Macaca mulatta: one gene and its partners. The protein of the gene in region 2 purifies or fractionates together with the protein of the main gene of each other region. This does not show direct contact. Links are inferred from orthologs where the notes say so. Each region holds a gene or a part of one and is shown on either strand. Other genes may lie near its edges.

Region 1 (4,716 bases), on a different chromosome or scaffold from region 2:
TGAAGGACTTCACCTATCTACCCAGCGTCATCTTGTCTCTTTCCTTTTTAATTTTCCACTTTCAGTCAACTACTAAGCCCAAGCCATTCTGCTGCAGTAGCTCTCAATTTCAACTGACATCCAGGCCATAATTATGTCACACCTTAAGGGGTCCTCCAGTTCCCAATCTTGTCAGTTGCAACCAATTTTCCAGACGAAGCCAGAGAGCCGGAGTGAATTTTTTTTTTTTTTTGAGACGGAATTGCGCTCTTTTTGCCCAGGGTGGAGTGCCCTGGCGCGATCTCGGCTCGCTGCAACCACTGCCTTCCGGTTTCAAGCGATTCTCCTACCTCAGCCTCCCGAGAAGCTGGGATTACAGGCGTCCGCCACCATGCCCGGCTAATTTTTTTGTATTTTTAGTAGAGACGGGGTTTCACCATGTTGGCCAGGCTGGTCTCGAACTCCTGACCTGGTGATCCGCCCGCCTCGGCCTGCCAAAAGTGCTGGAATTACAGGCGTGAGCCACCGCGCCCGGCCGCCAGAGTGATTCTTTAAAAATGTAAATTATATCATCCCACTGCTATGCTTAAAATCTTTTGGAAGTTTGTCTCTAGGATAAAGTTCTGAATTCCTTAGGATTTCCTTCTCAGTCTCATTTCTCCGTCCCCTCTCTTACGCTATTTTGAAATTTGAATTTTTAGAATACATGCTTGCAGCCTCAAGAGCTGTTCTCTCAGCTAAATACGTGTTCTCCTCCCTCCTTTTTCTAATCAACTTTGCACTCAACCCTTACAGCTTAATTTAAGTATCACTTCTAGGAAACTGACACCCTCTCAACCCCCTAGTTTGAACTTCTCTGTAGAGTTTCTAAGGCTTCCTGTACTTATCTAGCAATTAAGAGCATTATCTTGTAATTCACGTCTTTATCTCTGCTAGACTAAGTCCTTGGGAGGGCGGAAACCAGGGTAAACTTTCCATCTCAATAGCCTAAACGGAGTGCCTTACACACGAAACAGTCGTTCAATTAGCATTTATTCAGTGAGTTAACGATTTTCTTCCTTGGAATGATGGCGGCCAGAATACCAGAAAGATGGGGACTAAAAGGGGACAGAATAATTAAATCTATAAGGAACAAGCGGGAAGGAGTAAATAAATCTATAAGGAGCAAGTGGGTACGTAGGCTTTTCCATAAATCCCTGTAACCTAAAAGCCGGGGCTGCTCGGCTAGGGGGACCAGGCCGACCTGGCGAACCTGTCGCCGCGACTGGGGCTCCGGTGGGCGCCGCCTGGAGTGCGCGACCCCCGGCGAAGCAGGACAATAGCTTGGAATTCGGCCTCGTGTTTCCGGTGAGGCAGCCTCGCGCTGGGCCGGTGAGGCCCGGGGTGGGGGCTCCGAGCCGGGCCCACGGCAAGGAAGGCGCGGCCCGCTGGGCTCCAGCTGCCGCCACCACCGCCTCCCCCGACGCCGTCGCTCCGCCCCGCCCCGCCCCGGAAGTGACTTGAGACCGGTCCGGAACCTCTGAGCCCGGCGGCTGCAGCGTCACCAGCCGAGCCGGTGCGGGGCGGGCAGAGCGGCCGCTGCCGCCGCCAACGAACCGGGAACCGCGCGGGGCCCAGCAGCACGCCGGCCAGGGAAGGGGGCCTAGCGATCGGTCAGAGGGCGACGGGCCGCCGGCGGCCGCAGGGCGACGAAGACGCGGAGGAGGCGGAGCCCGGAGAGGGGTGGGGGTCGGGGAGGGTTAGGGTGGGAGGGGGTAGGGGGGGTGTCCCTGGGCTCATGGAGCTGGCCGAACGGGCGAGAGTCGGAGAGCCCCCGGAGCCGGGCGGGCGTTCCGAGCCGGGCCCGCGGGGCTTCGTCCCGCAGAAAGAGATCGTCTACAACAAGCTGCTGCCCTACGCCGAGCGGCTAGACGCCGAGTCCGACTTGCAGCTGGCCCAGATCAAATGCAACCTGGGCCGGGCGGTGCAGCTCCAAGAGCTGTGGCCCGGGGGCCTCTTCTGGACCAGGAAACTCTCCACGTAAGTGTGCCCGGGCCTGCAGGCCGGGCCGGGGGGAGAGGCTTAGTGAGAGGTGTCGGGGATGGGTGCTCTTTGTCCAGAGGACTGGACCCTTAGCTCTGTCCTCGCTGGAGCTGTCCCCGAGCGGTGGTCCCAGGGTCGTGACAGAGCCTGTGAAGCACTCAAGCTGTCCTCCCTGACACTTTCTTACCGGGATTCCCGGGTCCTCACCAGCCCTGCACGTCCTCTCCATCTGCTTCTCCCGAAGTGTTCGGGTTGTTGTCTTCCCACCTGGGGGGACCTGGGGAGCCCAAGGGCCCCGGCCCCGAGGGAGAGAGGTGAGCCTTTCCCAAGGGTCCTTCGTGGATCTTTGCGCATAGGAGAGGCGGGGCAGAGAGGATTTGCCTTTGGGGGAGTTCTGTGACTTCTCTCCCTGCTTCCTCCGGTTCTTCCTTCCCCTACGATCCCCGCCTCTTCACATCTCCGTTGGCGTCTAGTAACTTTCTGAATGGAAAGGAGACCATTGGGAAACTTAAGGGTTCTGCTTTTTTGGGGCCCGCTCAGACCTGGCGGAGTTGATCGAAAAGGTTGGTTTAAAGTCAGACTTCATTCTTGAGCTTAACGTCTTAGACGTTAATGTGGACAATGTTGTTTAAGATCCTAAGGATTGTGTGTTGTTCCTGTTGTGACATTTCTTTTGGAGAGGCCTTTAAGATACTGAGGAAAGTAGGGAAGAGTACTGTCAGGATGTCCACGGCGATACTCGTATCAGGCTTGTGTTAATATTTTGAGTTACTCAGATTAACATAGATTACCTGAATCAGTTTCAGGAGTTCTGTTTGTAAACTAGCTTCAAACTATAGTGTCACTGAAATTAGGAAAAAAACAAAAAACAAAGAATAAAAATACAGTGGGGGAGGAAAGGTTACATTTACCTGCTGGGTGGGCATCTTTACTGTGTCGGAAGAGCTTTTTAAGAAATAATTTTGCTGTATCTTGTTTGGTTAACTGTACATAAAATCTAGTAACATGGTATGTTCACGCATGTGGGTATGGATGGGTGAACACACAAGACCTAAGTCACTCATTCAGTGTTTACCCAAATCTACTGATTGAACTGAGTGATGACTCAGGGTTTTGTAATAGTTTTGTCCATATTTCTTCACTGGATGATTCTCGTCTGCCAATTATTAAGGAGCCTCTGACAAATTTCTCATTTCCACTTGAGGGGTGGGTGGGAACTAAAATTAAAAAGAAGCAAAACTGAAACATGTAATTTGCCCTCTTCAGAGAGTGATCATAAAATGTCAAGGTTAACAACTCTCCTCCTGACTACAGTATAAAGAAGTTTTTGGTGTTAACGATCCTTAGGAGAATGGGGGTGAGGGGCGGCAGAAGCAGGAATGCAACAGGGAGAACCACGTTTAGTCAAAAAAAGAATACTTCATAAATAGTTACAATCCAAATGCTTTTTGAAGTGAGACTCCTAGGTTTTTGTGTTACTCAGGCACAGTAAAAATAGTCACTTTGTTACAGTGATTCCCCATTTTAATCACTTGGATTAGACTTGCTGGGAGAATACCTACCATTTTTGGGGATGCAAACAGCTTTTTTTAGATATGCAGTATATACATATGCCATGGTGCGAAGGCATATCTGGTTTGGATTTATGAACCTAGAATCTACCAAGGCATACTTAAACATTGTTTTCTGAAGTATTTATTGTTATCAAGTTTGGTAAATTAGCACTCCGGGTTTTGTTATTTTGGCTTATTAGGTAAAAGTTTTTACTTAGAAAGGGCTAAAAATAACAGTGGAGCTAATGTTTGGTGTTTAGGGCTGGATTGCTGATGGCTTAATACCCATGAACCTATAACCATTTATATCTAAATAACCAACAAGAAATGCTATCGGGTAAAATTTTGTTTTGGTGTAATGGTTAAATGCTGGAAACTGATTCTTGGTATTGCACTATGAGACATTTTGAATGCAGTGGGACATGTTGTGATCTTGGGTGTGTTTTTTTCCTAAGTCATGTTAAGGTGACCTGTTTATAGTTGTGCTTGTTTTTTAAGCCTTCTGTGTTGCATAAGTGAACATCTGAATAATGCCAAAACGTGTGACGAAAGCTGAGTGGTGATCATATTTAGTACTTCGTAGAATAGAAAGTGGTAATGAAAAGAAATCTAGTTTCTCCCACTAGCCCTGAGACTGTGGGAAAGTTACTTAATCATGTGTTTCAGTATTCTTGTGCGTGAAATGAGGAGATTGGACTAAATAATTCTTTTTTTTTTTTTTTTTTTTTTTTTGAGGTGGAGTCTTGCTGTTTCCCAGGCTGGAGTGCAGTGACGGGATCTTGGCTCACTGCATCCCCTGCCTTTGGGGTTCAAGTGATTCTCCTGCCTCAGCCTCCCAGGCAGGTGGGATTATAGGCGAGTGCCACCACGCCTGGCTACTTTCTTTGTATTTTTAGTAGAGAGAGGGTTTCACGATGTTGGTCAGGCTGGTCTTGAACTCCTGACCTCAAGCAATCTGCCTGCCTCGGCCTCCCAAAGTGCTGGGATTACATGTGTGAGCCACCGCACCTGACCTGGACTAAATTCTTGAGAAGCATTTCTACTCTGGTATTCTGCAGTTTTATTTTTTTAATCCTGTCAAGCTTCACATCAGTCGTTGTGTGTATCTTTCTACAAGAACTGTTTGAATAATTTGTAAAATACTAGAAACAGTTGCATAGAT
Region 2 (4,240 bases):
CCTGCAGTGTTTCAGAGGTGCGTAGACGGTATTTCTAGGGTCCAGATTTTAAAAGGAGTCTGGACATTGCTCAGGTTTGCAGATCAGTGCCTCAGCCTGTCCTGCCAGAAAAATCACTGATTTCAGATGGGCTCATAGAGGAAGCTCCCGGCAATAGTAGCTAAAAATCCAAAATTTTTCAGGTAACCTAATGTATTTTTATTCTTTTCAATAAGAGTAAGTCATTTATTATTTTTATTTTTTATTATTATTTTTTTGAGACAGAGTCTCACTCTTTTGCCCAGACTGGAATGCAATGGTGCGATCATGGCTCACTGCAACCTTTGCCTCCTGGGCGCAAGCAATCCTCCTGCCTCAGCCTCCCGAGTAGCTGGGACCATAGGTGCATGCCACCACACCTGGCTAATTTTTAAATTTTTTTGTAGAGACAGGGGTCTCACTTTGTTGTCTAGGTTGGTCTTGAATGCCTAGGCTCAAGCAATCCTCCAGCCTTGGCCTCCTCCCTAAGTGCTGAGATTACAAACGTGAGCCATCGTGCCTGGCCTAAAAAAGTTATTTTCATGGTGGCTTATGCCTGTAATCTCAAACTGTGTGTGTGTGTGTGTGTGTGTGTGTGTGTGTGTGTGTGTGTGTTTCTATTTAGAGCTATAACTGAAGATCATGCCCTTAGAAATGACTGTGATCCAGGCTGGGTGCAGTGGCTCACGCCTGTAATCCCAGCACTTTGGGAGGCCGAGGCAGGTGGATCATGAGGCCAGGAGATCGAGACCATGCTGGCTAACATGGTGAAACCCCATCTCTACTAAAAATACAAAACATTAGCTGGGCATGGTGGCGGGTACCTGTAGTCCCAGCTACTTGGGAGGCTGAGGCAGGAGAATGGCTTGAACCCACGAGGCAGAGCTTGCAGTGAGCCAGGATCATGCCACTGCACTCCAGCCTGGGCAACAGAGCAAGACTCTGTCTCAAAAAAAAAAAAAAAAGAAAGAAATGACTGTGATCCAATAAGACATATGGATAATATCTCTTTACTGACTCTATTGAGGATATTGGCCATTTGTTATTTGGTATTTTATACAGACACTCCTTACCTTATAACATGTTGTAAGTTTAAAATATTGTAATTTGAAATGGGTATTTTGTAGACATAGGATGCAAAAACACAAAACACTATATCCAAAAATTGCTCACAGCAGAACAGTGTAAATTATCTGTTGTTTCCTCTCGTGATTGTGTGGCTGACTGGGAGCTGCCGCTCATTGCCACTGTCCAGCATTAGGAGTGGGTTTGGTACCACATATTGCTAGCCTGGGAAAAGATCAAATTTCAAAGCATAGTTTCCGCTAAATGCCTATTACTTTGGAACCATCATAAAGTTGAAAAATTTTAAGTTGAACCATCATAAGTCAGGGACCATCATCTGTACATAAAGATCCCTAAGACTGATTTTTCGGCCGGGCGCGGTGGCTCAAGCCTGTAATCCCAGCACTTTGGGAGGCCGAGACGGGCGGATCACGAGGTCAGGAGATCAAGACCATCCTGGCTAACACGGTGAAACCCCGTCTCTACTAAAAAAAATACAAAAAAACTAGCCGGGCGAGGTGGCAGGCGCCTGTAGTCCCAGCTACTCGGGAGGCTGAGGCAGGAGAATGGTGTAAACTCGGGCGGCGGAGCTTGCAGTGAGCTGAGATCCGGCCACTGCACTCCAGCTTGGGCGACAGAGCGAGACTCTGTCTCAAAAAAAAAAAAAAAAAAAAAAAAAAAAGACTGATTTTTCTTAAAGATCAGTGTCTAAACAAATTTCTGATGAGCTGCCATTTCCTTTTGACAGACAATGAGAGTAACCCAGCCACTGAGTATCCCTCTGTGCCTTGCCTGTGAGGGGGCTCAAAACAAAACTTTGTGTTCAGTCTGAGTTATCTTGTATTATGTTTTAATGGTTTAGTTTTATTTTTCAGTGTTTTTCATATAAACTGCCTCCAATCTTTTCTCTAAAGGAGTAGAGGTATAAACATACACATAGAGGACTGAGTGATGGTAGGACCTTGGGTGAAGAGAGGGAGGATTAGAAGAACAATTCTGAAAGAAAGGAGGACAAGAGGGTCAGAGATGAGGAGGACAGAAAGGTCAGTGTTGAAGAAGAGAAAGTGAAGAAGTCTTAGAACATTGCTAGCTGGCAGGAGAAGCGAGAGGGGGCTGGCCTCGGGGAAAGGTCATCTTCCTAAACAGGTCCTCCGTTTCCCTTTGGGTCTGGGTCTAGGCCGGGGCCTTGTCTGAATAGGCTTGAACATGAAAGTGAGCATTCCTGAGTTCTGGTTTCTCTCTCTGATGCTGGCCCCCACAGGTTTGGCCCCTACTACACTGAGCCAGTCATTGCCGGATTGGACCCGAAGACCTTCAAGCCCTTCATTTGCTCTCTAGACCTCATCGGCTGCCCCATGGTGACTGATGACTTTGTGGTCAGTGGCACCTGCGCCGAACAAATGTACGGAATGTGCGAGTCCCTCTGGGAGCCCAACATGGTATGTTGGTGGCATGGAGTGGGACTGGGCTCTGAGGTACCCACCCTTGGTCATTAGGAAAAAAATGTGTTTATGTGGCAGGTAATGGGGGAAATGGTGCAGGTGGGAAAGCCGCAGCTGCTGCTCCTTGGAAGGGTATCCAGAAATTCCATCTGCCAGGGCTGACTGGCTCCAAAGGAGAGCGTCTTCTGTTGGGAAACCACAGTTAGATATTTGCCACAGCAGTAAGAATTCCTTACATTGGGTTTACAGGGTTCCCGCATCCATTCGTTGAGCAAACATTTAACTCAGTGTAGGGTTAGAGGCGGCTCAACAGAATGGGCTTTGGAACCAGGTTGTCTGGGTTGGAAACTTGGATCCACCCACCACGTTAGTTATTGTTCTTGGAGAAGCCAGTTTACTTCTCTGCCTCCACTACTTTGACTGTAAAATGGGGATAAGAAAGTCTACCTTAGAAGTGGTGCTGAGGAGGCCAGGGGCGGTGGCTCACACCTGTAATCACAGTATTTTGGGAGGCTGAGGCAAGCAGATCACCTGAGGTCGGGAGTTCAAGACCAGCCTGACCAACATGGAGAAACTGTCTCTACTAAAAAAAAAATGTCAAATTAGCCGGGCATGGTGGTGCACGCCTGTAATCCCAGCTACTCAGGAGGCTGAGGAGAATCGCTTGAGCCTGGGAGGCAGAGGTTACAGTGAGCCAAGATCGTGCCATAGCACTGCATCCTGGGCAACAAGAGCTAAACTCCATCTCAAAAAAAAAAACAAAAAAAAAAACCCACAGTGGTGCTGAGGAAAACAAATGAGTATATGTCCTGCCGAAGCGAGCAAAAAAACAAATGAGAAGAGATTATAGTGCTCGACAGCGAGGGTCGGCTGTCATTATTGAGTGTCAGTTCTCCTGGGCATTGGGGAAAGCAGGTACAGTCTGCTTTCAAGGGCCCACTGCAGTCCAGTGAAGCAAGACACACCCAAATACCATTAAACTGCAGTTTGTTGGGAAGAAGAGGAAAGAAGAGAGTCTGGTAGCAGAAGGAACAGCCTGTGCAAAGGTACAGGAATGGCCAGGTATGCTCAGTGACTGGAGAGAGCTGAACCTGGCTGAAGTGTGGGTTAAACATGGTGCGAAACGATGCTGGAGACTGAGATGAGACCTCAAAGGGCCTTGAATGCCATGCCAAGGAGTTTGAACTCTGTCCTCTGCCGTAAGGAACCTAGGGAATCAGGTGCCTTTAGGTGGACATGACAGGCTGTTATCGCCTGCAGGAGGCACTGAGGCCCTGAGCAAAGACAGTGGCAGTGGGGAGGCAGGAAGGCAGCTGTCAAGGGGACTTAGTCACTTAAAACAGAAGTGAAGGAGGTAGAGACAGAGGATGGCTGGATTCTCCAGCTAGGCTAGCCAAGACAGAATGTAGAAGGAACAGGTTTGGGGAAAGTGGGTTTGTGGTTGGAGACAGGTTGGGTTTTGAGGTACCTGTTAAGATATCCAGGATCAGAGCCCATCAGACAGCTGCTAAAGCACATGGGAACCAAATAGGGATTCTTCTCCCTATTTTACAGAGAAGAAACTGAGGCTCAGTGAAGGGACGTGCTATTTGCCCAATGTCACACTGCTGATTAGTAAAAGAAATTCAGGGCTTGACGTCTCTTTCACTTTCCTTTACATAATTCTGCTTCCTTCCAAGGAAGGAGCTGAGGGGGGCTTCCCACATCCTGGGAAT
Region 3 (4,804 bases), on a different chromosome or scaffold from region 2:
ACTACTTGCTGTTTGACCTCCATGGGGGTTGCTATTTCAGAGTGATGTGGAGGGACTGGGAAGAGTCACGGCAGATGGTGGGAGCTCTACTGGAAGATCGGGCCCACCAGCACCTTGTGGACTTTGACTGCCACCTTGACGACATCCGGCAGGACTGGACCAACCAGTGGCTCAACACTCAAATCACCCAGTGGGTTGGTCCCACTAATGGAAATGGAAATGCCTGAGCCAGGGCCAGCAGGGTCCAGATCCAATAAAGAGACTTGGGCTGATGGGCAGTGGTATAACTATATTTATTGTGCCTGGGAGGCAAGATGAGGGAAAAATCTCAACAGAAGCAAGTTTGGGGAAAATCTGGAGTCCCCAGTAAAAAGTAGGAAGGTCTCTGCTGTACCCATCCCAGAATGGGAGAGAGGGCTCTCAATAGATCATTCCCTTTGTTTCTCCCCTGGGCTTCTTGAGCTTCTCGAAGTTCTTCAGGATGATGTCATATAACACAGCCTACAGGGCCAGGGAGGAGTGGAGGTCAGTCAGAGGCCTCCAGTGGCTCTGTGCCCCATTTCTAGCCTTGTGGAGAAGCTGCACTTTGTCACCCTTTACCCCCAGCCTGCAGGGTCAGGGAGTGCGTGGCCTGGGAAAGCTGCCTCTGCCCACCCCTGCCCTCGCCTCCTCACATAAGCATTGCGGATCTCCATGACCATCAGCCGGATGTCCCGGTACTCTGCCTCATCCAGCTCGTGCACCAGCTGCCGATAATCACCCTGTGGGAAGCTCGGGTCAGGCCTGACCTTACATGAGTCCTTCCCTCATGCACCCTGACCTGGGCCTCACCTACCACATGGGGCTGCTTGGCTGCTTTAGTCACTGCATCACCACGCTCAGAGAAATACCTGTGGAAGGAGAAGTGTGTATGGAGTAGAAGAAGGAGGTCTCTGTCCCAAAACAGACAGTGTGTACATGGGTGGTCACTCACTTAGAGATTTGGGTGTGGAAGCCTTCTAGCTTGGTGTGGAGGCTGGTCATCAGCTCAAACACCTTCTCCTAGGGAAAAAAAGCAAGGGGGAAAGTAGAAGGAAGCATGGACTAGAAAAGAGCAGGGAAGTGGGGCAGCACTCTCACCTGGACAGCCACTCCAAAATTGTTACCATCCTCAATCCGAGGTATCTGCAGCTGCAACCAGGTGGTGACCTGGGAAGAGGGAATGGCGTAATGCCACATCAGCCCTCTATCCAATTCCGTTTCATATTCTCCCTTGCTTCCCTCCCCACACTGGGTGGAGGCATGCCAGGTCTCTCCTGAGCCTCAGAGCCCGGACTTCTGGTTTCACTTGCTGTGCTCTCTCTTGCTAAAACCTGGCATGTGCCAGGCCCTAAATGGCAGGGACTAAGAGGACAATGGTTTGACTTAAAGCCTGAGAGTTGAAGGGGGAGAGCCTACCAGGTTGAGCTGCTCAATGACATCCTTGATCTCAGGCTTCAAGCGCTGCAGAAGGACCAAGATCTTTTCATTGCAGTTCACTGGACCACAGGGAGGACCTAGAGAGTGAGCAATGGGTCAGTCACATGATTGAGCCTGTGTGAGGGTTGAAGGGGAGAGTAGAAAGAAATCCTTAGGAGGAGCTCCTGTGGGTGGGACTCAAGTCTCTTCCCACAATTGTGGTTTCAAGTACCTTTGTCTTCATCCTCCCCCTTCTTCTTTTCATCCTTGTCTTCCTTCTGCAGAAAAAGAGGGGCTCATGAGAGTCAGGACTAAGGTTGATTACCCCCATGGTTGGATCCCTTCTCCCAGGTCTTCCCAGCTTGCCTCCTGCTGTTTCTTCCGTTCCTCTTTCTCTTTCTCCTTGACTGGATCAGGCACTGGGATGTCCAACGGGGCCTTCAGATTGCTCAGGTTGGCTTCATTGAGAGCTGGCTCCTGGTGTAGGGTGGGAGGAGGGCTGGAGGTGAGGGGGTTCCTTTCACCTCACTCTCACAGCCCCTGACCCTTCTCTTGGCCTTTACTCCCTAGCTCCCTGCCCAGCCGCGGTACCTTTAAAAATGCATCCAGCTCAGAAATCTTCTTGGGGAAATAGCTCCCGAGCAGGTTCTCTGTCTGTGTGTGAGGTGGGATGGAGAAGGATGGGAGTCAGCATCAAATGCCCATCCTAGGTGGTGAGGCAGGGTTGAGCAGTAGGAGTTGGGCAGGGGTGGGGCCGCTGATGGGGCATGTCTTACCTTGGTACAGAGGTCTTCACGAAACACATCCACCTGTGGGGCACATGCATCCCTTCAGAAACTTGGCTTTAAGGCCAGTTCATTTGAGGACAGTTCCCTTAGGGTTATGTAGGGCCTGACCTGGGGAAGGGTGGAGGGGATCCCTCTAAGGCCAGACCTGAAGAAAGCGAGATGGATGCCTGTGGGGTGGGTTGGGGTGGTGGAGGAGTGGAACTCTGCAGACCTGGATCTACGGAGAGTGGAATGGGTATCCCTAGGGCTGGATACGGGGGATGAGAACATTCCTGGCAGTGAAGGGCCAGTGGTTCACGTGAGACCAGATCCCTGGGGTCGCCTGGCAGGTGTGAGGAGGGGTGCTGAGAGCCCTCTGCGAGCAGGACAGGGACGGGGTGGGCCCCGGGACCCTCCCTAAGGGAAAGGCCACGAGGTAGCTGGGGCAGTCCCGCATCCAGTCTGTGTGTGGCCCCGGCTCCAGGCCAGCGGAGTTCCCCTCCACGCCAGCTCTCCGCTTCACCTCACCCCACAGAACCACGGCCGCCTCGCCTGTCCCCGCAGGCAGCAGTCACCGCCCTCCCCGGGGCGCAGGTGCTCCGGGAGCGCCAGCTCGGCGGACTGCCCCTGACTTGTGTGGGAGTCTGGGGGGCGGGTCGGGGATGCCCCCGGCCGCTCGAGCCACGCCTCCCCAGTGGGCCCTTTCTAGACCCCGCGGCGCTCACCTTGGCTTGGGCCTCGGGCTGGACCCTGAGCGTGGCCATGACCGGGACGGGGGGCCTAGCGCCGCACGAGGAACGGAGTGGGCACCGCGAAGGGAAAGCGAAAGCGGCGCTCGCACCACTCACGGCCTTCCTGGGTAGTGGGGCGGGGAGGGCTGGAGGAGGCGGGGTCAGCCCGGCCAGGGAGAGGTGCAGTGCAGCAGAGGAGGGCGGCGGGTGCGGCTCCCCCTAGCGCGCACAGGCTGCCTCGCGAGGGCCAGTTTCCAGCCTCCCCACCCCCGCCGGCCGGGTCCCCGCCTCCCCGCCCTCCTCTCGTCCCCGCCTCCCGCCTCCCGCCTCCCGCCTCCCGCCTCCCGCCTCCCGCCTCCCGCCTCCCGCCTCTCGCCACTCGCCGCCCGCCGTCCGAGGACGCCGGGTCCTCCCATCGTCTAGTCTAAGCCAGTCTCTCCGCGCCCCGCCCTCCACCTTCCGCCTCCCAACTGGCTCCCCACCTGCTCTCTTCTTCCCCTGCTCCGCCTGGGACAGATAAGTCTTACTTAGGGCTCTTCTGTCTTTCCCCAGAGATGGAATAAGACCTGGCCTCTCTTTCCTAGCCTTGCTAGCGTGGGCCTCTGGCTCTGCCGACATCCTCCGCACCTGTAGCAACACCGGCACCAGAGCCGACAGCATCCCTATCCAAGCCCGGACCAGCTCTCTCCTGGACCACCGCGGCATATGCCATTCTACAGCCCACTCTCACAGAGCAGCGGGTTCATGCCTCTGTCTGGCTTAAAACCCTTTCTCAGCTGCCTGTTGACCTTAGAATGAAATCCAAAAGGCTGTTGCAGCTGTCTCCCCTTTAAGTTCACTTTCTACTACTTGCCCCTTCATTCATTACACTTGCAAATACTCGGGCTATTTGTTTCCCAAATGTGTCATGTTCATTCCTGCCTCAGGGCCTTTGCCCTTGCTAATAATCCCTTTGTCTAAAACACACTTACCCTGGGTGTTGTCATTCGGTTCTCAGTTTAGATGTCACCTCTTCAGAGACAACTATTTTCATCATCCTCTATAAGGAACCTCCCTCCAAATGCATTACAAATCAGCCTGTTTTAGTACATTCATAGCATTTATCTCTGATATTAGCCCGGTTTTTTTTTTTTTCTCCCCAGGATAATTCACTGATTTAAACCAGCAAACTGTGTGTGTGTGTGTGTGTGTGTGTGTGTGTGTGTGTGTGTGTGTGTGTGTTGGGGGACAGAGTCTCACTCTGTCGCCCAGGGTGGAGTGCAGTGGCACAATCTCAGCTTACTGCAACCTCCACCTGCTGGGTTCAAGCGATTCTCCTGCTTCAGCCTTCGCAGTAGCTGGGACTACAGGCGCGTCCCACCACGCTCGGCTATTTTTGTATTTTTAGTAGAGATGGGGTTTCACCATGTTAGCCAGGATGGACTCGATATGCTGACCTCGTGATCCGCCCGCCTCGGCCTCCCAAAGTGCTGGGATTACAGGCATGAGCCACTGCGTCTGGTCAGCTTTTTCTATAAAGAGCCAGAGAGTAAATTGTAGGCTTTATGGGCCTTACAGTGTCTGTCTACTCAACTCTACCATTGTAGCAGGAAAGCTGCCATATGTAAATGAATTAGTATGGTGAGATCAATAAAACTTTACAGACACTGGACTGAATTTCATGTAATTTTTTCCTGTAATAAAATATTCTTTTTCTTTTGCTTTTCCAACCATTAAAAAATGTAAAAACGGCCGGGCACAGTGGCTCATGCCTGTAATCTCAGCACTTTGGGAGGCCAAAGTGGGCAGATCACTTGAGGTCAGGGGTTCGAGACCAGCCTGGCCAACATGGTGAAACCCTGTCCCTACTAAAAATACAAACACTAGACA

Evidence for each region.
Region 1: the proteins of PSMB3 (region 2) and PSME4 purify together in Homo sapiens (affinity purification with mass spectrometry; 3 studies listed by BioGRID and IntAct, counting the BioPlex papers as one, with this or other methods). This does not show direct contact. The link is inferred for Macaca mulatta from reciprocal best matches to the Homo sapiens genes PSMB3 and PSME4.
Region 3: the proteins of PSMB3 (region 2) and PSME1 purify together in Homo sapiens (affinity purification with mass spectrometry; 4 studies listed by BioGRID and IntAct, counting the BioPlex papers as one, with this or other methods). This does not show direct contact. The link is inferred for Macaca mulatta from reciprocal best matches to the Homo sapiens genes PSMB3 and PSME1.

The regions. Positions count from the first base shown.
Region 1 is NC_133418.1:70,690,712-70,695,427, forward strand, and holds the start of PSME4 (proteasome activator complex subunit 4), read left to right. Parts: upstream 1-1,524; 5' UTR 1,525-1,756; coding exon 1,757-1,998; intron 1,999-4,716. UniProt on the Homo sapiens protein: Associated component of the proteasome that specifically recognizes acetylated histones and promotes ATP- and ubiquitin-independent degradation of core histones during spermatogenesis and DNA damage response.
Region 2 is NC_133421.1:63,041,340-63,045,579, forward strand, and holds part of PSMB3 (proteasome subunit beta type-3), read left to right. Parts: intron 1-1,916; exon of another isoform or gene 1,917-2,344; coding exon 2,345-2,522; exon of another isoform or gene 2,523-3,653; intron 3,654-3,993; exon of another isoform or gene 3,994-4,240. UniProt on the Homo sapiens protein: Non-catalytic component of the 20S core proteasome complex involved in the proteolytic degradation of most intracellular proteins. This complex plays numerous essential roles within the cell by associating with different regulatory particles.
Region 3 is NC_133412.1:97,252,511-97,257,314, reverse strand, and holds PSME1 (proteasome activator complex subunit 1), read right to left. Parts: upstream 3,038-4,804; 5' UTR 2,969-3,037; coding exon 2,930-2,968; intron 2,247-2,929; coding exon 2,214-2,246; intron 2,092-2,213; coding exon 2,029-2,091; intron 1,915-2,028; coding exon 1,804-1,914; intron 1,716-1,803; coding exon 1,670-1,715; intron 1,536-1,669; coding exon 1,438-1,535; intron 1,189-1,437; coding exon 1,120-1,188; intron 1,042-1,119; coding exon 974-1,041; intron 891-973; coding exon 836-890; intron 762-835; coding exon 675-761; coding exon of another isoform or gene 667-674; intron 502-666; coding exon 421-501; 3' UTR 284-420; downstream 1-283. Other genes in the region: EMC9 (ER membrane protein complex subunit 9), read left to right, coding at 41-227. UniProt on the Homo sapiens protein: Implicated in immunoproteasome assembly and required for efficient antigen processing. The PA28 activator complex enhances the generation of class I binding peptides by altering the cleavage pattern of the proteasome.